Linked DNA regions of Danio rerio. The protein of the gene in region 3 interacts with the protein of the main gene of each other region in a biochemical or structural test. Links are inferred from orthologs where the notes say so. Each region holds a gene or a part of one and is shown on either strand. Other genes may lie near its edges. The genes, in order: siah2l, klhl15 and rbbp8.

Region 1 (8,135 bases), on a different chromosome or scaffold from region 3:
TGCTCGTGCACGTGAGTGACAATCACACAGTATGAACGATCAAAGACGCGATCTGAGAGAATCGCCAATGAGTCGCCGATGCCTGCGAGATATTTGGCGTGCTAAATATCTAGAGTTGTCGGTGATTCAAATCATGCCGTGTGAATGGAGTTTTGACTGAAAATAACATCAGCCATCGCCTACAGCCAATGAGAGAGCAGCTTTCACTTGTGCAGGCCAGCGGGAGGCTGGAGAAGAAATTAAAAGCGCTCTTTTTCGGTTTATTTGGACTCACGAAATGGAGGGAAAACTAGTGGAGGTTTGACAGGACTCAGGAGCAACCGTGTCTGTTTGACGTTACATACAGAAAGAAATTAGTTTATTATCAACGTTGAGGAGAAATGGCAAATTCCCTTTAAACCCAGGTGAGCAAACATGTACGTGTTCTACCCCATTAAAGGCTTCTTTCTCATTATGTAGTTAATAACAAAAGATATACTACATGTTTTTGGCTGTGAGACGTAGTTTGGTTGAAGTTGTCCGCGATTCTCCCTATAGTAAAGTCATGCAATGTGAATGTCCATGTTGCCGATCCATCTTGCAGTGTAAACAAAGCAGCGACGAAATGCTAGCCCAGATAGTCATGCAGTGTGAAAACATCTGTGACACGACTAGTTTGAAAATCAAGCAGTCTGAACTCGGCATTAGTGTTTTGTTTTTGTCACTGGTAACCAAAACTGCTCAATTTCTAACAATTCTTTAAAATATGTTCTTTTGAGTTTCAGTCAGTTAACCTTCTAAAGAAGAAATCGTGAGAAATTTCTCATGAGAAATTCATGGGATTTTTCCTGACCACAGTAGGTTCTAGATGATCATGTCCTCAGCGATCAAAAAATAAAATTTTTTTAACCAAAAGATACTAAATGTGCTCAGCATTTACACAGACGGACCAGCATCCAATAAATAAGCAACTTATTTTCATGACCCCTTACTAGGGCTGCACGATATAAACAAAATCTGACATAGTGACATTTTGTTTTTTTGCAATATATATTGCGATATAAACTCCATTATACCAGATAACTTTATTAGCTCTATTTGGAAATCAGTCATTCATTTAGTTAAGATTATTATTTGCATAAAGTTTAATAAACAAAATTCATTCATTCATTCATTCATCCAATTATTTTATTTTCGGCTTAATCCATTTATTAATCTGGGGTCGGCACTCGCAACAGTGGAATGAACCGCCGACTTATCCAGCATATGTTTTACACAGAGGATGCCCTTTCAGCTGCAACCCATCACTTGGAAACATCCATACACACCCATACACTACGGACAATTTAGCCTACCCAATTAACCTATACCACATGTCTTTGGACTTGTGGGGGAAACCGGAGCACATGGAGGAAAAAATTTTTTCAATCATTTATTAATATAACAGATCAAAAGATAAAAGTGAAATAAACAGTGCATTTCATGGGAGTTTTTTAATAGTATTCAGCTAAAGAAAAGGAATAATGAAAAATAAAACAGGACTGTATAGTATTGATCATATTAATAATTTATGAACTATGAATTTAACCTTCATTAAGTCACAAACAATAAACATTTCTTGACTCTGAATGCTTTAAACTTTCCTGAAATCCTTACAATCATAGGCAATTGATACATTTTTACTCTATTAGGGTTACACTATAATATCAACTCAACATTGCAGATCATACAATGTAACTCTTGCTTATGCGCACATTATCGATGATATCGATGCTAAAACGATATTGTGCAGCCCTACCCCTAACTGTCAGAACAAGAGCATTGGTATAAACACTAATTGTCAAAGGTGAATACAAAATAATGTTAAGAGGTAATGGTGTCAGAAACCTGTTTAGTTTAGCACATGGCACAATTCCAGAATTACACAATTCACATACATCCACAAACACACATACATTTTAATGCTGCTATAGCTGACCATTGAAGAACAGACAAAGCCCTTTTAAAAACAAGCAGCAGATGCAGCTTTACTTTCACCACAAACGTTGAAGGCTACTTTCCTTCGCTGACGGCTGGTATCACTTTAGAAACTGCTCTACATCAAGTACCAGTCGCCACGTCCTGATTACAGCCACTGTAAGGAGGAAACATTAGCCCAGGGAACAAGAGTAGTGATCAACTTTCACAGGCCAGCGATAACAGAGGATACAACTTTAATGCACTGATGATGCAATAAAAGGGTTTCAGGTCAATCACAATAAAAAGAAAACTTTCAAAACTGTGGAGAGCTAGAACTAATCTAGGGTGAATTCAGATTCAACAAAAAGTTATTCTGGTAGTGGGTATACTAAACAAGATTTCTAACATCTGAACCAAATCAATGGTTTCAGTAACTGGGCTGCTAAAATGTGAGATTTCGAAAATCAAGTCATGTTTGTTTCTTGTCAGATTTCTAGATTCAGAATTAGATGTGTAATTGTGAATGAATGAGGTTAATTCAAGGGATAGTGCAACCCAAAAAAACAAAAAATTCTGCTATCATTTAATGACCCTTGACTTCCAAACCTGTTTTTTGTTCTTCTGTTGATAACTTTTGGAAACTAGTAACCATTGAAATTCATAGAAGGAAAATGTGATATTATGGAAGTCAATGATTTACAACAGTCTTCAAAATATCTTCTTTTGTGTTCAACAGAACAACAAAACTCAAACTGAGTAAATGATGGCAGAATTTTCATTTTCGGGTGAACTGTCCGTGTCAGTTTCATACTAAACAACTGCAGAGATTTGGTGAAAATTCAGTAAAAAAGCCACTTGTGATCCAGCGTAATTTGCAATTTAGCCAATAGACTGAATAAATCACAAAAGAAAAGTATTACTTGAAATTGAGATGTTAGTGTGACAAAGAAAAATTATTTCATATGTGATTGCATTAATGCACAAACGAGTTTGAGTTTATGCAATTAAATCAAGCTTTCTGTATTTTTATTTTAAGCATGATTATTATTACACATCAACTGTCACACAACATGTGGTAAGTTCAGCATTCTATTATAAAATAATTAAGGAAGTAACAACAAACTCGAAAACAAAAATAATTTGATTCACAAAATTAAGAAAATGGATAAAAAGATTTAAAAGGTTTAAATATGTGTGATAAATTGCATAGCCATTTCTAACAAATAGTATTTACTAATACGACAAGTCAACTGAGAGAAAATGTAGTTGCTGTCCTTAATTCAACTTTGACAGTCAATTTAGCTTGCATTATATTAAATGGACTGATATCTACAATATACAGCACTTCAAGTAGATCAAAAGTTTTTTATAGTATAATTAATAACATAAAAATAAAATAAAAAAACAAAAGTATCATAAAATTGGACTAGTTTTCATGATTAAGCCATGTCAGTCTCAATTTTTAGACATGTGCCCTCAACATCAACCATCTAAATTACAAAATGTTTGTTCTCAAACAGGTCTCCCCGATACACAACGCCTCCTTAGCCAGCCATTGGTTGGATACAGTCAAAGCCCCGCCTCCTAACTGATGCCATTGGTTGAAGCAATATTGAAGCCACTAAATTACTAAAGTCTCTCAATTTCGGTTATTTCATCCAACTAAAAACTCAATTTAACTACCTAAGTGACCGACTATAATATTCAACCAATGAAAAAACACACTTCAGCAGCATAAACAAAAACACTGATCTGATATGATAGCCAATGCACCTGTGGCATCTCGAGTTTTAGTTACACTTCCTAAACTCATGCGTGCCATCATGCAGTGCTGACTGAAACAATACTGCAGGCGACTTTGCATTGGTTATTATGACAGTCGTGAACGCGCAATTCTTACCTTACACGGAAACGGCAGAGTAGATGCAACTTTTTCCATTGCCAAGTTCCGTATGCTCGGCGTGAGAGGGCCGCGACAGGTCGGGCAGCAGCTGAGCTTTTGCCGACACTGGTTACACACCAGATGCCCAGCCTGGCACTGCAGGATCGGCGGCAGCACATAGTCGAAACACACCGGGCACTCAAACAGCGCTGTCAGCTCGGGGGACTGTCCCGGAAGAGCCGCGACTGGAAGCGCTACAGCTGCTGCGGGAACCGTACCAGAACCCGCGACGGAGCCGGACACCCCCGCGGCGGCTGCAGCTGCTGCGGCGGCCGCGGCAGCAGCGGCGGCGGCGGCAGCAGAGGCAGTTGTTCCTCCAGAACCTCCATGCTTACTTCCTCCTGCTTTTCCAGCTCCGAGTCCTCCGGCCGCTCCACCCGCAGAGGACGGACGGCTCATGGCGAGGAGTGTCGGTCGATGTTTGATGGTGTAAAACCCCGAGTAGCTGAAGCCCGAGAGCCTCACCGTCCACTCCCGACTGAACACGGACTCGGTTCCGAGTAGCCTCCTCCAATCCCCCGCGGATACAACATGGCCGCCATAGTTTGAGAGCGAGTAATGAGACTATTGGGTGAAGGAAGTTTGATTGACACTCTCCTCAGCCAATCAGAGAGTAGCTCCTGCGGTTTATGTAAGAGTTGCCGGAATATGTAGTAATTGCGTGAGTGGCTGTAGTGAAGTAAACAGCAAACATTTGCGCGGTGGTTCTTTCACACGATGTTTCACTGCTTTATGTAATCAGTAGACTGTCGTGTTGGAAAGAAACAATGAGAAAGAATCAATAACAGAACCAGTGAACATTCTGGAAACATTTTCGTTGTTAATGAAAGAAGTATCTTCTCATCACAGAGGCTGCAAGTCAAAGTCAACTTTATTGTCAATTCAAGCACATGTGCAGGACATACATTCGTTCATTCGCTTAGTCCCACAGGGGAATGAACCGCCAGCTTATCCATCAGCTTATCCAGCATATGTTTTATGCAGCAAATGCCTTTCCAGCTGCAACCCATCACTGGAAACATCCATTCACACACATACACCACGGACAAGTCACCTATTCCACATGTCTTTGGACTTGTGGGGGAAACGGAGCACCCGCAGGAAACCCACACAAACTCCACATGGAAACGCCAACTGACCCAGCCGGGGCTCGAACCACCGACCATCTTGCGGTGCTACACACTACGCCACTATGCTGCCCTTACAGGACATACATTGAAAATTGTGTTACTCTCAGACCCTAGGTGACTAACAGATATTATTGATACAAAAAGTTACATTTTAAAATAGAAATTACAATAAATACAATTAATGTTACACATATAAAATAATGTAAAGATATACGTGAAAATTAAGATTTGTAAACAATTCAATTAAGGGCACATGATAAGGAGTGCAAACCAGGAGTTGTGCAGATGCAAAACAGTATATAGTGCAAAAATATGATATATGATAAAGTGACACTGTCTTAATATTAAGGAGGTAGCATGAGGTAACTACAGAGGTAGTATGAGGTGTTATTCGTTTAGAAATGCAAAAAAACAGTAAATATTATTTAATTTTAAAGAGGTATTTTAGTGAATTAAAGATTTTTAAGCACTGTTACTCCACTTATTTTTATAAAGCTTATTTACAATTAATGTTCATGCTCAGTCAATAATAATAGTTTTCATTATGCTAAATGTTGAACGCATCCTTTCTGCTTTATGTTTTTGTAGAAACCAAGTTTCATTTTACTTTCCAGGATTCTTTGAAGAACAGAAATTATAAATAATTGATCAATTAAACACAATGGAATGTTTTACTGTCACTTCATAATCACGTCATGTAATTTTCATCCGCTTTTCCAGGGCCGGGTTGCAGGGGCAGCAGTCTTTAGGAGAGAACTCCAGACTTCCCTCTACCCAGACACTACCTCCAGCTTCTCCGGGGGGGGATCCAGAGGCGTTCTCAGGCCAGACGATAGACATAGTCCCTTCAGCGTGTCCTGGGTCTTCCCGAAGGCCTTCTCCCGGTTTGACATGCCTGGAACATCTCCCTAGGTAGGCGTCCTGGAGGCATCTGAAACAGATGCCCGAGCCACCTCAGCTGACTTCTCTTGATGTGTAGGAGCAACAGCTCTACTCCGAGCTCCTCACAGGTGACCCTGCAAAGGAAACTGATTTCGGCCGCTTGTATCCAAGATATTGTCCTTTCGGTCATGATCCCAAGCTCATGAACATAGGTGTAGGAACTTAAATTGACCGGTAAATTGAGAGTTTTGCCTTTCGGCTCAGCCCCTTAGACCGGTACATCGACCGTATTACTGCAGCACCAATCTGCCTGTCAATCTTATGCTCCATTCTTCCCTCACATGTGAACAAAAACCCAAGATACTTGAACTCTTCCACCTGGGGTAAGGACTTTCCTCTAATGGAATGTCTGATGAAAAAATTAGAATGAAAAATAAATGTCTGAGCATCATCCTCATTAAGAAGATTTCTGAACATCACTACTTGTTGTGCTACTTAAGTAATAAAGCTCAAAATTCATCTTTGAATCACAGTAATAAATTTATTTCTAAAATACATTCAGATAATATATCACAATGTGACAATATTAATGTTTTTGTTATTTCCCAAAAGCAATAATGATCTTAACGTTAGACCTTTGACTGGTTTACATGTAGAAAGCGGCCTCTTTTTTTTTTTTTTTTTTTTTTACTGTGCAATGCATTTAAAATAACCTAATCAATGTTTTTGAAATTCTTCTCATTCACTCTTAATCTGGAACCATTTAATTTTTGTTTTTATTTTAAATTACAGTTTGCATGTAAATACACAATGAATACAATATTACAGCTAGCATCAGTGAATCAGAGTCAAGGACGCCGGGTGAGTGTATTAACTGCTTATTAAATAATTATATCATAGCAGTTTCTACAGTATTCGAAGAGTAAAACATCACAAACCTTGTCCCGTCTAACCAGCTCCCTCTGCTGGCATTTCATTTTATTTTATTTTTCTGTATTTACTAACGTCACCGGTTTATTTATCAAAGTTAGGGCCAGACAGAATCTGAAGATTTATGCGGAATGATTTTAGGAGTATCATAACTAAAAACTTAATGTATAAAATAAAAATAAATTTGTAACTTTATTGTTTACAATGCAAATCCAATTAGATTCACTTTTTTGGTAAACAAAACAAGTCTCTTTAAAGTAGTCATAATATCTCCACTAAAAGACAGAACATATTACTTTACAAACTGTATTGTAAATAAATCTTATGAACATTTTAATATTGTTATATTACAATAATAAACTGAATAAAATATGAATTTACACAGTTACGCAAGTAAATACAAAGACTTATGTATGATGGGCTAAAAATCTGTAGATTTCTGCGTGTGCAGATTCAGTGTGGGCCCAATCATAGTTCAACAATTACTAGTGTATTATTTAAATCCAAATTAAGGCTTGCTAACATTAGTTAAAGCACCTAGAGTTAAACTAGCAATGAACAACTTTATTTTCATTAAGTAACATTAACACAGTTAAATAAATACTGTTATTATTGTAGTGTTCATTGTTTGTTCGTGTAAGTAAATGCATTTTTTTTACATTTATCTCACTACACAACAAAAACTCTTACAATACATATTTCTTGTACATATATATATATACACACATGTGTATATATATATATATATATATATATATATATATATATATATATATATATATATATATATGTATAAATATATAAATATATATATATATATATATATATATATATATATATATATATATATATATATATATATATTAGGGGTGTCATGATTTCGATTTTTAATCGAAATCAATCTAAATTTATGCTCGACTTCAATTATCGAATCAAAAAATAGAATCGTCGATGCTGCCACGCCCCCATGTCAAGTTAGCTTGGCTTGCCAAGCGGGAAAAAAACATGCTTGTTGAAGTGCTTGTTAAACTGCAGACACTGGAGACCCGTCGACAGAACTTAAACCCTCTCCTCTTTCAATGAAGTCGCCGGTGTGGAAGTATTTTGGATTTCCAGTCAGTTATGTTGACAACGTTCGTGTTGTCGACAAAAAAAAACTGTTTGCAAGCTCTGCTATGTACCTATTACGGTTGGGATGATAGACGATGGGCGCATCGCGATCCTCCGCCCCGCACCCGTTGCAAATCCGCTCGCGTAAAATACACACTCAGGCCCTGTTTACACTAATATGTCTTTGTTTTTAAATGGCATTT
Region 2 (7,796 bases), about 19 Mb from region 3:
TTATAGTAGATGCAAGAAATGTACTGTTTAAACAATTAAGAAGTGTTATTTTATTTAAAAGAGATATTCCTAATTTTTACTTCTCATATGAAAAATACTGAAAATAATTTTTCAAGTTATTTATTTTTGTTTTTTATAAGAAAAACGTGACTTTGTTTTGGGTGATGTGTGTTTTAATTTTAGTTGTTCAAAGTTGATGTCTGTAAATAATCATAGAAAGTAGACTGTGTTTCCTTCAATCATTTTGCAATCAAGTAATGCACGCTTCATTCAGAAATATCTGTCACTTGTATTATGTGAGCATATTTACTGTACAAAACACGTCAGTAAACTATGAGGGCGAAATAAATAAATAATCACTCAATAATTGTAACAGAGTTAAAATGTTTAATTGATCGAGATTTAAATTTATAGGCCAAATCGCCCAGCCCTTGTTTGAACTAAACTTTTTTTAAGCCCTAAATGAACTACCCTTGAGTATATCAGGGCACTTGATATGTATGACACTGAGTAGCACTTCATGTTCCTCATCCTTACCAAGTTATGCAGTTAAGAAAACAATAGTGTGATGAGTTTGTGGCCTTACCTTTTCGAGGCCTCCTGGCCAATCATGGGCTTTACTGCGCTGAAGGGACGTTCACATTTCCTCTGCTTGTACTTGCCCTGCTCTAAAACAAAGACCACATCCAGATGCTTGTAAACAGACAGGATAAATAATGATCATTTATATTTTTTGATTATCGTATTTTTCTTTTACCAATATTTTTATTCTTTAAAACCCTTTAAAAAATATTTTTTAAAGAGCAAAAATATGTTACAATACACATACAAGACACTAAGCAGCATTTGATTCATGTTCATATCTACTTGAAGATATCATGTGTAATTCAATGTGTTATTTACAGTCTTAATGAAACACAATTTGTTTTATTGGGGTAATATTAATATTGGGGTATATTTGATGTATTTTTATAGGGGTACTTTTAAACAACACCATGTTAATCTTAAGGAAACATTTTTGAAAAGAAAGCATTTTTGCTTTTGTGTGTTATTTTATATAGTTTTTTTTTTGTGTGTTATTTTATTATAGTTTGCACTTTTGCTAAATTAGGAAAAAAATTTGTAAAATTAAACGGATACTGAAGAAATCATAATTTACATGTGTAATACAAGAGAAATTTCACTTTAAGGAAATATGTACAATGTAGGCAATAAACTGCTTAAAGGTTATAGCAAATACATTTATAATGCTATAATATATACATATTTCAGATAAAAAGCATTTCTTCTAAACATTCCTTCATTCATTTTCTTTTCAGCTAAGTCCCTTTATTAATATGGGGTCGCCACAGCTGAATGAACCGCCAACTTATCCAGCACATGTTTTACTCAGCCGATACACTTCCAGCTGCAACCCATCACTGGTAAACACCCAAACAAACTCAATCACACACATACACTACGGCCAATTTTAGCTTACCCAATTTTCCTATACCACATGTCTTCTGGACATGCAAACTCCACACAGAAATGCCAACTGACCCAGCTGAGGCTCGAACCAGCGACCTTCTTGCTGTGAGGCAATTTTGCTACCCATTGTGCCACAGCGTCAACCTTCTTCTAAACATTCTATTAATCAAAGAATCTTAAAATAAATTGTGATCAAATGTAAATAGTTCAAACATGATCCAGCACATATTATTTCAAAATAGATCATGATCATGAATCTGTAGGTAACGGAGATGCAGGTAAACCTCATTTCTCTGACCTTAAAAGGTGCGCTAGCAACAAATGCTAGAGGCCATGGCCTTTACGCCACATTCACATGGGGCGTCAGCGTTAAAGCTTCCCATTCACTTTGAATGGATGATGTCAGGCGTTGCCGAACTGCATTGTGGATCCGTCGGTGCCGCTTCAGAGGCGTCAAAGAGCTTAGAATGACCAAGAGGCGACACTCAATAGAACGTTCCATTGCAACAGCAGCACCCAGCAACAGCCCCGGATTCCGCCATGTTGGAGTTAAAGTGATCGGCCGTCCATTGGATCTCATTACTGTCGCGATGGCAAGCAGCTGCTTTGTTTTTTATTTATTTATTTAAAAAGCGCATTAAAGCTGAGATACAACCTGAAAGACGACAATACAACACTTACTATCACAATCATCAGCACTTTTAATAGTTTATTTAACAGACTTATAATATGCTGTTGTTCTATTGGAGTTTTCATACCAAAATGGCAGCCGCCCTCTAGTGGCTGTTTCCCAAATTACACTAGAGTGTCGCCTCTTGGTCATTCTAAGCTCTTTGGTGGCGTTGCTCGCTGCAGAAGTTAGGACTTGCTCAACTTTTCAAGCACCGACGGAAGTGTCAGCCAATCAGATCACGGTATGCAAATACACCAGCTCAGACAGTGGCCTATTACTGACTATTTTCATTGGCTGACGTTGCTATGACGATCACGTCAGCCCTAACTTTAGACACGTCCTCTGTCAAGCGTTGACACTTGAGCCCCGTGTGAGGCGTTAGACTCCTTGTTAAGGCAACCAACTCCCATACAAAGAATCGCCGGTTCGATCCCAGCTCAGCATGGGTTGGGTGCAGTAGAACTGCAGTAGGATACAAGGGGGCTCGTTTGGGATGGGAATGAGATTTAGGTGGATGAGAATGATTATTCAAAGATCATGTGGCACTTAGGACTTGCATAAAGGCTACTGTATACCAAAAATTAGGTTTGCCATTAAAATAATAGATCACATTTATGTGTAGTACAGAAACAAATATGAACTGATTTACGTTTATATTAATATTACTATAATAAAGGTCATTTTCCTACATGTTAATATATCCTAATTTTATAGTTGTTTTTTTACATGACACTTCTTTTTAAATAAATAATAAAAAATTGAACAGATCCCTATATTTTAGATGGAACTTAATAAAAAAAAAACTCAAATGTCACTCATACAGTTAAAGTCAGAATTATTATCCACATTTTTATTTTTGTTTCTTTTTTAAATATTTCCTAAATTATGTTTAAGAGAGCACAGGAATTTTTCACAGTGAATAATATTTATAATAGCAGTGAATAACAGTCTGATAAAATTTTGTCTTCTGGAGAAAGTCTTATTTGTTTTATTTCAGCTAGAATAAAAGCAGTTTTTAATTTTTTTAAAACCATTTTAAGATCAAAATTATTCGCCCATTTAAGCTATTTTTATTTTCAATACTCTACAGAACAAACCATTGTTGTATTTTAACTTGCCTAATTACCCCACCTTGCCCAATTAACCTAGTTAAGCCTTTAAATGTCACTTTAAGTTGTATAAAAGTGCCTTAAAAAATATCTAGTAAAATATCATCATGACAAAGATAAAACAATTCGGTTATTAGAAATGAGTCATTAAAACTATTATATTCAGAAATTAGTTGAAAGAATCTTCTCTCCGTTAAAGAAAAATTGGGGGGCGAAATAAATGGGTCTAATAATTCAGGGGGGGCTAATAATTCTGACTTCAATTGTATGTCTCAAATGCTAACTGCTCCATAACTACCCAGATGCCTCTTAATTTTATATAAATTTTTTTTTACAATAAATCTTCTTGTTTTGACATACAATGTGATAAACATCTCTGTAACAATAACTAACAAGACAATTAGAGAAAAGTGTGAACACTACTAAAGGCAAATACTACTCTTAAACCTTATATTACACCTTACATGAATGAAAACCTTTGAATTTGAATGACCTCATGCTCAAAATCTCAGCAAACCACCATCAGACACAAAAACAACACTTGACTGATTCACAGAGAAGCTTGTATTATTATCATCTAATGTATTATGTCATGTTCAGAATTCAGTATCTGAACAAAACTGAAAATTGACTGTCAATATTGTGTCACCTACTAATCTGTCCGCCTAGACTGCATTCGTGATCACTAAATCTCAAAAAAACGCTTCACTTACATGTAATGACCAAACAAGCTGTCTACCTAGGGAGCTCACTAGATAGGTCAATATCATAGACACAGTCAATAATCACCGGTGACATGTCCTAGCAAATGTCAACGCTCTACAAACATAAGAATTCCGGTGTTTTCGGCAACGCCAGGTTAAAAGGAGTGTGTTTTAAAGCATGACAATGTTGCTGTGTGAAATGAGACGGTTTGTAGCAGGCTTTACCTCGGCGATGCGACTCCACGCAACCCCGCTTCGACCAGGGAGCCCGAGGTCCTTCGGACATGGAGTGCTGATGTCAGACAAAGAGCAGAGAAATTAAAGATTACATCTCATTATCGACGGAGCTGTGCTGCCCATTGGCGACTTTAGGTGACAATAAATCAATGTTATTTGTACGGAATCGCTAAATGTTGTTTGTCTATAGGCACCACAGCGATCGTAGACGCCATATTATTGTCTGCACTGACGTCATTTCCCGAACATTTGTCGGTCGGACGGAAATGTTGTTGGAGTTTCTCTGTGTCCACTGCAATGACTGTCTATGGAGTCTAAATGAACATGTTTTAGTCCGTCACAGAGCTGGAAATCGTTATGAGCACAAAATTTATGACTATATTATGATTTTAGATAATGCATTAGGCAGTTGAAAGATTTGAGAGGGGAAATCTCCTGTTTAATTAATATTTTATTATGTTATATTATTATATTATATTATATTATATTATATTATAGCTATATTATTCATTCATTTTCTTTTTTGACTTAGTCCCTTTATTAATCAGGCGTCGCCACAGCGGAATGAACCACCAACTTATCCAGCATATGTTTTTACGCTGCAGATACCCTTCCAGCTGCAACCCATCACTGGGAAACAATCACACGCTCATTCAGACACACTCATACACAATTTAGCTTACCCAATTCACCTGTACTTCATGTCTTTGGACTGTGGGGGAAACCAAAGTACCCAGAGAAAACCCACGCGAATGCAGGGAGAACATGCAAACTCCACACAGAAACGCCAACTAAACCAGCCGAGGCTCGAAACAGCGACCTTCTTGCTGTGAGGCGGCAGCACTACCTACCTACTACCTATTATTTCAAATGAAGACCCAGTTAATTAATTTGCTGCCATTGTGTGATAAAATATTATTTTATTATCAGCCTTTTATAGAGTTACTTTGTCCCCGAAAAAGTTCCTCACCACTCACTCCCCCTCGAATGTTTATTAGTTTTACTTTTGTAATGTTTGTAATACTTGTGTTTTGTTTTAACACAAAAATACATTTGAACCCTTTAACTGCCCCACCAAAAAAAAAAAAAAGATTACATTTCCAACTCCTAATGTTGCTAGTTAACACACTCAATGCTTTTTTTTCAGCACATCCAATAACTTCTAAAATATCAGCCTCTACCAAATGATTGATATGTCTGTGCATGGTAAAATTAATGGAATTAACACGTATACTATGAAAAGTGTAGGACCAATTTATTTTTAAAAAATATTCAAAATAAAAACATTTTGAATACTAAATCATTTTTATTTGTTGAAGTATGGCATAAAATATTTTACATTTTCATTTAACATGCTTTCTTGTGTGTTTGTTTGTTTGTTTGTTTTTTTACAGTAAAATTTTAATCAAGTGCAGTAGTGCAACAGGGTTACGTTTGTTTGATTTTTATTTATTTTTTTGTAAACCATCAATGCTGTGTGTAAACTAATATTTAAAACAGTCATTCTTTAAATTACTTTAACAGTCTTTATTTAAAACAGTATTAACATGGTCAACCGTTTAGTAGAGCGGCAGTCATAGAGGTAAAGAACATTGGAAACCGGTAGCCAACTTAATGAAAAATAATAGAAGTCAAAGGCTACCATTTTTTCAAAATTGTTATTTTTACTTGTTTTATTTTAAGAATATATATTTTTTATTTGTTTACTTTTACAGAATTTGTATACATTCAGACACGCTAGGAGATTATAATGGTTCTTCGCAATGTAGTGCAGGCTTTGAACTAGTTTCCCTCTCACATTATTGGTACTTTATTGATCCCTGAAGGGAAGTTATTCAGCAGATTGAAAAAAAATAGGTCAACACTGAATGGGGCATATAGGACAGTGATATACACATACAGTAAACGTATATAAGAGAAAAAATTAGAGGGCTCTTCTGAGTACATTTATGTCAATGTTGATTAATTGTAAATTTTTTTGTGAAATAAAAATAAATAAATAAAAACACAGTCCTCTGTACAAGAGACATGATGCACTCCCCACATTCATGTTTCTACAATGTTTAGTATGTGTAGTTGACAGCATTTATGTGATATTTTTATTTACACTGACTTTATACTTTTTCTTTAAATCAAAACTGATATAGAAAGTTATTTTGGGTGACATGTCACCAATAAGCTTTTAAAGCAATCACTCAAAATGGTTACTTTTTAAATATATTAATACACAAAAGATTTGCCTTCCCAGTGCTCATTTTTATTTTTAGATACTGTCTGTTTTTAAACTAAACTAATTTCCAGATTTTCCAAATCTTCCACCAGAATATTATTCATTCATTAATTTTTTTTTCAGATTGGTCCCTTAGTCCCATTAATCCAGGGTCGCCACAGTGGAATGAACCACTAACTTATCCGGCACATGTTTTTACGAAGCAGAACGTTATCTGGACTGGACCAAATTCTCAAAGTCTTTAGGTCTACTTTATAGGCTGATCTCCTCCATTTCTAATACCTCTTTCATTATTAAACAACAGTGGAAGTCAGACAATAAAATATTTCGTCCCCTGTTCACTGAAAAAAAAAACAATTCATTTGATTTATTGAAAAAAAAAAATTTGAGGGGCTGAATTTAAACAAACAAATTAAATTTAGTAATTCATTCATTCATTTTCTTGTCAGCTTAGTCCCTTTATTATTCCGGGGAATGAACAGCCAATTTATCCACCAAGTTTTTACGCAGCAGATGGCCTTCCAGCCACTACCCATCTCTGGGAAACATCCACACACACGTTCACACACACACACACACACACTCATACACTACTGACAATTTAGCCTACCCAATTCACCTGTACCGCATGTCTTTGGACTGTGGGGGAAACCGGAGCACCCAGAGGAAACCCACGCAAAGGCAGAGAGAACATGCAAACTCCACACAGAAACGGCCACTGAGCAGAAGTTCGAACCAGCGACCTTCTTGCTGTGAGGCGACAGCACTACCTACTGCACCAATGCCTCGCCTAAATTTGGTAATGTTCAAATTAATTTGTTTGTTCAAATGCTGCCCATATAAACTGTTTGCAACCATACATTAAGAACCATTTGCAATCATTAGCTTAAAAAAAAGAGCAAATCCAATTAAAAATTTTTAAGTGTTCATGCTTCCTCTATTTGTGCACAACATAACACAAATAAAATGAGGTTAATTAAACTTACTGGACAAAATAGGCAAAAATTTGTGAGTGCTCTTGACCCTAAATAAGTATGTTTTGCCCATTCATAACTAATTGTTAGAGATTACAATAAGAAGGCCTATATTACATAAGCAATTGCTTCACTGAATGATGATATTCACTCATGTTTTGACATTTAATTTTCACTCAAATTATTTATTCACCCATGTTTTGACATTGAATTTTCATTAAAATTATTTGAAACACTAGTGGCAAAATTGCAAGCAATATGTTTCTTTGCACAAATTTCGTACATTTATTTTGATGTGGAAACCAAAAATCAGATGCATTATCATTTATTCCTTCACTGTCCTTCGTCTTAGTAGCTTATTTACTTACAACGGAAAATCTCCACAACGGAATGAACCGC
Region 3 (8,032 bases):
GTGTTCTGTGGAGAACTAAACACACACTCAAAACAGACGGTCATATGATGATGAATGTCACCAGTGCTCAGTATTTCATCATGTTTTCTTCAACTCTGAGACTCACCCAGACCTCCTGAGTCGCTCCAGTTCAAGACTCAGTCTCCTGTTTTCATCTGTCAGAGTTTTCCTCTCAGCCTCTAAACACACACATTGAAGAAGATTTTTGGGTTGATACTGATAGGCTGGATGAGACGAGAGCTGCACTGGTATGGAATTTTTGACCTGATAACTGATAACGTAAATTTGATTTGAAACAGATAGCCAATATATTATTAACAAAAATAGCAGACAAATAATATCTATATCCATAATTGTTATGCATGATTGCAAAAACAAAAATCAAACACTTACAGAGAACAACTGATTTTATTTTAAAACTTTAACTTCAGAACAGTAACATTTACAACAAGGCAAAACCAGCAAAAATAAAGCATAAAAACAGCACAAATAAAAACCTAATTTTGTTATTAGACCAATCGAGATAACATTAAAATCAGGTTTGCTGATATTGATATGGCCACCGATGTATCATCCAACCCTAGTAGATACAGATGAGTTTCAGACAACTTAAAGTAAAAACTATTTATATCCATTTTTTTAACACTCAATTCTTACAAAATTCCATCTAAATTACAAATTCCAAATGCACAATTTCCAAAAGACATTATATATATATATATATATATATATATATATATATATATATATATATATATATTTTTTTTTTTTTTTTTTTTTTTGAATGTAACTATTTTTGGGACAAAATTATTAGCCTCTTTAAGCTATTTTTTTTCGATAGTCTACAGAACAAACCATCGTTATACAATAACTTGCCTAATTACCCTAACCTGCCTAGTTAACCTAATTAACCTAGTTAAGCCTTTAAATGTCACTTTAAGCTGTATAAAAGTGTCTTAAAAAATATCTAGTCAAATAATATTTACTGTCATCATGGCAAAAATAAAATAAATCAGTTATTAGAAATAGGTTTTTTAAAACTATTATGCTTAGAAATGTGCTGAAACAATCTTCCCTCCATTAAACAGAAATAGGGGAAAAAAATAAACAGGGGCGCTAATAATTCAGGGGGGCTAATAATTCTGACTTACATACACATACACATTTCTTATGAATTATTTATGATTTTATTTATAAATTTTGACCTCGACTGTTTATTTTTTCCCCAATTTTTGTTTAACAGAGAGAAGATTTTTTTCAACACATTTCTAAACAGAATAGTTTTAATAACTTATTTCTAATAACAGATTTCTTGTATCTTTGCCATGATGACAGTAAATAATAATTTACTAGATATTTTTCAAGACACTTCTATACAGCTTAGAGTGACATTTAAAGGCTTAACTTGGTTAATTAGGTTAACTAGGCAGGTTAGGGTAATAAAGCAAGTAATTGTATAACGATGGTTTATACAATCAAAAAGAAATACAGCTTAAAGGGGCTAATAAAATTGACCATAAAATGCTTTTTTAAAAATTAAAAACTGCTTTTATTGTAGTCGAAATAAAACAAATAAGACTTTCTCTAGAGGAAAAAATATTATCAGACATACTGTGAAAATTTCCTTATATATATAAAGTTTTGTATGGCTTCTTTAATTTTTCTTGTTAATTATAATTTATTAAAAATTTTCTAATTAACATATATATAGGGGTGTATTAATGCTTGCAGCATCATAATAGCTAGTTATGTTTTTTTTAATAATTTCCACTCTTAAAAATAATTACAACTAGCCAAACAAAAACGAAAAAACATTTATTTTATATGGCCTCCTTCATTTTTTTATTTATTGCAATTTATTTCAGATTTTTTGTAACATTCATTGGAGTCTAGTTCATTTTGAACTATAAATTGCAAATTATGTTGTTCGAATGGTTTCAGTTCTCCCTTTGTATTGACTTATCTCACAATAAACCAATAAATGATATTTGATCAAATATCTTACTGTTTAAGATCTCGCTGAAAGTATTATTTTAAAAGCAAGATGAATATTTTTCAGCGATCAATCTGTTAGAGTGCATTTATCTAAGCTGGACACAGTAAATAAGTTCAAACCTCTGAAACTAAACCATCATCTATTTACATTAAAGACAGCACAGTCCAATAAAATATGCTTTAATAACACCACTGAAAAAGAAATAGTCACCAAAAATACTCACCAAGCTCAGAGATGACAGACAGATTTCTCTGATTATTATCTTCAAGCTCAGTGTTTGTCTTTTTAATCTGCTTCTCTTTCACAGTGCAGCGATCGCATGGTCCAGAACGCAACCTAAAAAAATAACACAGTGACTAAAACTGAGCTCCGAATTCAGGATAAATGCATAAAAAACATGATCAATAGGTTTGCTTGTGAGCACCTGTCCTCCAGCTGTCTGATCTTCTCCTGCTGGATCTTCTGTTGCTCTCGTAAATGTTGATTCTTGCTGTGAAATTCACTCAATTTCTGAGCATCTCTGAGAAAAGAGACACAATATTATTATTATTAATAATAATAATAATACAGTCAAATAGGATATGTGGCATTACAGATTACAGATTAAAAAAGGTTTTTCAAAATAGCTTAAGCATGTTTAATGATCATCACAAATATTTATTCATGCTTTAATGACTCTCAAACTGATTTATATACATTTTTAAATATATTTGCATGTACACTGTATACGACGTGGACTTACAGACAGCGCTCTTTCTTCAGTTTAGCTATTTTTGCTTGTAATTCTGAAAATGAGAAACATGTATGTTGTCAGAGAAAAGAAAAATATTTTAATAAGTTATTTGACAATCTATTTTTATTATAAAAGTTATCAAATCAGAAAAACAGAATCCACAATACAGTTTTTCTCAGTCGATCAACAGTAACTGCATTTCTCAAAACATTTTGTCATTTGTGCACATCATAGCAGCAGTTTCTTATTCCGTCTAACAAATTGCAAATGCTTTCTGACGTGTATCAATTGCTTTTATACAACTCTCTGCTGTTTATAACATTATCATTTGTTTATGTCATGTCAGTTCAAATTAACTGAACTTGTGAATGCTGAATAGTCACTCCATATAAAACTAATAGTCCTCTTTTATTACTTATTACTCTTTTATTCTTTACATACAAAAATGTTAAACTAGCTGTCCAAATCTCTCAAGCAAATTTTATAAAATCTTTTTTTTTTCTGAAAATTTCTTGTAAATTGAATGATTTGATGAATTATTTAAAGACCTCTATGTTGTAGGTTCAGTTCCAATATGTTCTGCAATATTGTTTACAGGTGTGCACAGCTCTACCCAAAGGGAGATTAGGTTTGTTGTAAATTTGTGTGTATTTATTCTTCAGCGCAACGATGTGAATAAATTAAAATTGCAAGATTATGCAGTAAAAATGTAAAACACACATATTCAGTGTCTTGTACTCAGATACCTCAATAAATGCAGAGATGTCTAACTTTACTGTAGTTTTCAAATGGCTGTGCAAATAGTGTATAGTTCTGTCCAAAGCATTTTCAGCAAATGTCACCAAAATCTGACTTTATTGCATTGGATGTAATGTAAAGAGTGAACTGTCATAAAGAAGACAAAGCCATTTGACTATCTTGTTCATAAACAATGTTGTGGTAATTGTGTATATTGTCTTTAAGTGATATTTACAAGTGGTTTCAGACCGAATAGTCAAATACCATGGTAAACAATATAGAGAGATTGTCTATATTGAGAGAATATAAAACCAACTTTACCTCAATTAAGTAGGCTAACAATAATTACCTATATTTCAAAGTAATTGCTTAAATTACATTTTTAGCATACAAGTAATGTAATTAACTAAGTAACTAGTTGTTATGTAATTATTTATACTCCACTCAGGTTATTTACCTTGCAGTGCGGTGTCGTGCAGGTCTCGGACAGCGGTCAGCAGCTCCTGCAGTTTCTCCCTGTGGTCTGAGGATGAAGCAGGACTCAGATCTGCTGGAGTGATGCTCATCTTCACTCTGTTTCACTGTAAATCCTTCACAACTCCAGCATTTACACAAATACATTTAAAAAAAACTCTCCACTTACACCTGACAAATTCCCTCCTGAATGTTTACACAAACGTATATCCGCGTATAAGACTAAAATAATAGGCATTTAAACATGGAAACGCGCGTTCAATATACCTTCAATAATTGGGGTTGTAAATATTCTGATTGCCCGCTTCTTCTTTTTCTTTTTCTTCTTTGGTTGTTAATGGCTGTAGGCAACTGAACTTTGCCGCCACCGACTGGAATGGAGTAATGGAACTGGGCGTGCAGTGGCGTGGGTTCCGGGTGCTCCGGTTTCCCCCACAGTTCACAGTCACACACATATAGGTGAGTTGAATAAACTAAATTGGCCGTGTAAATGTGAGTGTGCATGGGTGTTTCCCTGTGATGGGTTGCAACTGGAAGGACTTCCGCTGTGTTAAACATATGCTGGAATAGTTGGCGGTTCCCCTGATAAATAAAGGGAATAGGCTGAGCTGAAGGAAAATTAATGGATGAATTGTTTTTGTTTGCCAACTATGATTTCTTAGTTTTATTTCAGTTAATCAAAATGCTTTTTGACCAATGTTTTTTGTTTTAGTCTAAGTTTACGTTTTCGTTTGCTAAAATAACCTTGGAGAGTAAGGAAACTGCGTGTGTGTGTGTGTGTGTGTGTTTGTGCGCGTGTTTGTGTGTGTGTGTGTGTGTGAGAGAGAGAGAGAAAGAGAAAGAAAGGAGAGAGAGAGAGAGAGATATTCGGACAAACGTGTATAATGACATGGGTATGACACGGGTATTACAAAGAGACTGTGAATTATGAGGACATTGCTAATGTCAATTTTTTCAATTCAGAATAGGGTTGGGGCAATAGAAAATACAGCTTGTATAGTGTAAACAATAATAGTTACTTGACCAATGGAAAACAATAGAATAATATCAAATGTTCCCACAATTCACAAAAGCTAACCCTGTGTCTGTGTGTAGTGGCAGGAAAGTTTGTGATTTCATTCATTCGCTCATTTTCTTTTTGACTTTCCTTTTAGTCCCTTTATTAATTTGGGGTCACCACAGTGGCATGAACTCCCAACTTATCCAGCATGTGTTTCACGCAGCGGATGCCCTTCCAGCCGCAACCCATCTCTGGAAAACATCCATTCACACTCATACACTACGGACATTTTAGCCTACCCAATTCACCTATACAGCATGTCTTTGGACTGTTGGGGAAACCAGAGTGCCCTGAGATAACCCACGTGAACGCAGGGAGAACATGCAAACTCCACACTGAAACACCAACTGACCCAGCCGAGGCTCGAACCAGCAGCCTTCTTGCTGTGAGGTGACAGCATTACCTACTGCGCCACCGTGTCACGTTTTTGTGAACTCTTTAGAATAAAATATTTTTCTGCTGCAATTCATCATAAAATTTGAGTCACAATGACAGACAAACATACTGTGCATACATTTATCAAGCAAACAATTCTAGTTTCTTGTGTCTTTGTTGATCACAAAATATTAAAGAGTGACTGACTGACTGACTGACTGACCGATCAACTGACCCACCTTCCCTATACTCAACCAATAGTGTTTTCAAAAGCAGCAACTGACCAGCCCAACACCTTCCCTAAACCCAACTTGCAGTGTTTTAAAAAGCAATCCAGAAAAAAAAGCCCTCGTCAAATTTTTACTGCATTTTCAGATTTTTCCACATTCTTTACATGTTTATTTAATTTTTTTGGCTTCTGTTTTTGTCTTCAGGAACCATTCTTTGCTGGATTCAAACTCCATCATCATGGTCAACTCCTCTCTGCATCTCAAGTCCATCGACGAATGCGTCAAGCTACTGGGCAAACTGGTAACAGCAGAAAAGGCTGTATGCGATCAGCTGCTTAGCAAGAACGTTGTCACACCACCCCGTAGCATTTGTTTTAAAGACAAAATGTAGCCATATGTGTATCTGACCGTCGACTGTCATGGTAAAAAACAACTACATTTTGACCAAAAAAGTTTTTGAGCCCATATGACCAAATTACTGACCCAATAACTTTGAAGCATGAATGAAACGTTTTGGGTGAGTACAGGGCCGGCTCATCTATAGAGGCTACCTAGGCAGCCGCGACACCTCCCTCACCACCTGCGTCCTAAGTTATATCCGCGAACAGCCACCCCCTCCTCAACTTGCTACCTTTTCACTTTTGTTTTCACTTTCAGATTGTGGGTAGCGTGATCGTCAGATAATATTCATACATGTAAATCTTGAAATGACTTAACAAAATATCCATATAATATTATACAATAAAATATAACATAATAACATCTAAAACACTCAAATATTTCTATAGTAGAACTACATGACACCGTCGGCATCAATACATTGTGTACCGTGCGTTGACGTAGCCTATCGCTGTTTTTGTTATAAATAAGCACACACATACACACAGACACACACACACATATATACATTGTTTTATATATATATATAGTTTCCCAGAGATGCGTTGCGGCTGGAAGGGCATCCGCTGCATAAAAACGTGCTGGATAAGTTGGCGGTTTATTTCGCTGTGGTCACCCCGGATTAATAAAGTAACTAAGCCGAAAAGAAAATGAATATATATATATATATATATATATATATATATATATATATATATATATATATATATATATATATATATATATATATATATGGGTAATTTCTGGCATTTGGTAATATTTCAGCTTGAACAAACTCATTTTTATAAGTCTGTTGATTATATTTTAAATAGCCTACATAATTAGGCACAATTTAAACTTTCAAAAATTTCCCTCAGGCATTACAGCTTTCATATTATTTTCAGTTTTATTCTTATTTGGACACCTATAATTCTCAACCCCATTACGGACAAAACTGAGTTGTTAATAATAGTATTTTACAAAGCTTTTGCTATCAAACCAAAATTTACCTATTGCTCATATGTCCCTCAAATCACTGTAATGACTAAAACATAATATTTTTGATAAGTTTTAGATTTATATGTGATTTAACTTACAACTATACAATTTATGAATTCTGTGGTCTCTTAATTTTTCTAAAAATCTTTTATATTTAGATGTCTTACCCAAACCACATATTTACAGTGTTAGGCCTTTACATGGTGGTTGGTACTCAGCAAGAATGTTTTCCATATTTAATTGTTTTCCTTATTTTATTTTCCAAAAAATATTAATTTCACAGGGTTGAGAATACAATGAAGGGGTTGAAGACCATATCAGGGTTGAGGGGACACTTTAATTTTAGTTTTAATTTGTTTTAATTATTTGAAATTACATCTAAGACTTAACCAAAACACTTATTTATTTTAGCAAAATATTTAGCAATGGCTTAACACTAAGATGAAATTAAACTTTATTAAACCAAACTACAGTCAGAATTTAAAAAAGGAAACTGCTGAAGGTAAATGGACCATTAGTAACCTTTAAAAATACTGATAAAGGCCTATGATAACAAATATATTGCTGAACAGAACCTACAGTAAACAGGAGCAACAGGTAAAAACTGCAGCAGAAAAATTCTTAATGAAATTGCTGATGAAAATTTTTAATAATAAAAATATCTATATTTTTTTTATTTATATATATATAGATAGATACACAGATATATATGGGGCAGTACTGGGTGACTGATGAAGGATTTCATACATTGAAACATTTCATATACTACTTCAATCTTTCGGGTTGTAAGTTTATCTTGCTGAACTTTAAACCTTTTTCATAATTTCTAAACTCTTTGTGCACCCAAGGCTATTTAGGCCTACTTGAACTTCACAGAATTTGATATAAAATATTTCTCATCTGTTTTGTAGGAAACCTGAATAAGTATTGTAAACATTTCAAAAGCTTCTTCACCAAATATGCTAGATGGGTAAAATAAATAACTGCATCACGAGCTTGAACTCAGCATGATCCTCCATTAAAGTACCGGTATCTACTGTACATGCACC

Evidence for each region.
Region 1: the proteins of rbbp8 (region 3) and siah2l form a complex in vitro, tested with the Homo sapiens proteins (2 studies listed by BioGRID). The link is inferred for Danio rerio from reciprocal best matches to the Homo sapiens genes RBBP8 and SIAH2.
Region 2: the proteins of rbbp8 (region 3) and klhl15 form a complex in vitro, tested with the Homo sapiens proteins (2 studies listed by BioGRID, with this or other methods). The link is inferred for Danio rerio from reciprocal best matches to the Homo sapiens genes RBBP8 and KLHL15.

What each region holds. Positions count from the first base shown.
Region 1 is NC_133196.1:42,018,616-42,026,750, forward strand, and holds the start of siah2l (E3 ubiquitin-protein ligase Siah2), read right to left. Parts: upstream 4,425-8,135; 5' UTR 4,280-4,424; coding exon 3,839-4,279; exon of another isoform or gene 3,837-3,838; intron 1-3,836. UniProt on the Homo sapiens protein: E3 ubiquitin-protein ligase that mediates ubiquitination and subsequent proteasomal degradation of target proteins.
Region 2 is NC_133199.1:20,844,904-20,852,699, forward strand, and holds the start of klhl15 (kelch-like protein 15), read right to left. Parts: upstream 4,485-7,796; 5' UTR 4,182-4,484; intron 669-4,181; 5' UTR 587-668; intron 1-586. UniProt on the Homo sapiens protein: Substrate-specific adapter for CUL3 E3 ubiquitin-protein ligase complex.
Region 3 is NC_133199.1:39,942,482-39,950,513, reverse strand, and holds the start of rbbp8 (DNA endonuclease RBBP8), read right to left. Parts: upstream 4,271-8,032; 5' UTR 4,209-4,270; exon of another isoform or gene 4,066-4,208; 5' UTR 4,034-4,065; coding exon 3,925-4,033; intron 2,782-3,924; coding exon 2,739-2,781; intron 2,517-2,738; coding exon 2,421-2,516; intron 2,333-2,420; coding exon 2,220-2,332; intron 180-2,219; coding exon 107-179; intron 16-106; coding exon 1-15. UniProt on the Homo sapiens protein: Endonuclease that cooperates with the MRE11-RAD50-NBN (MRN) complex in DNA-end resection, the first step of double-strand break (DSB) repair through the homologous recombination (HR) pathway.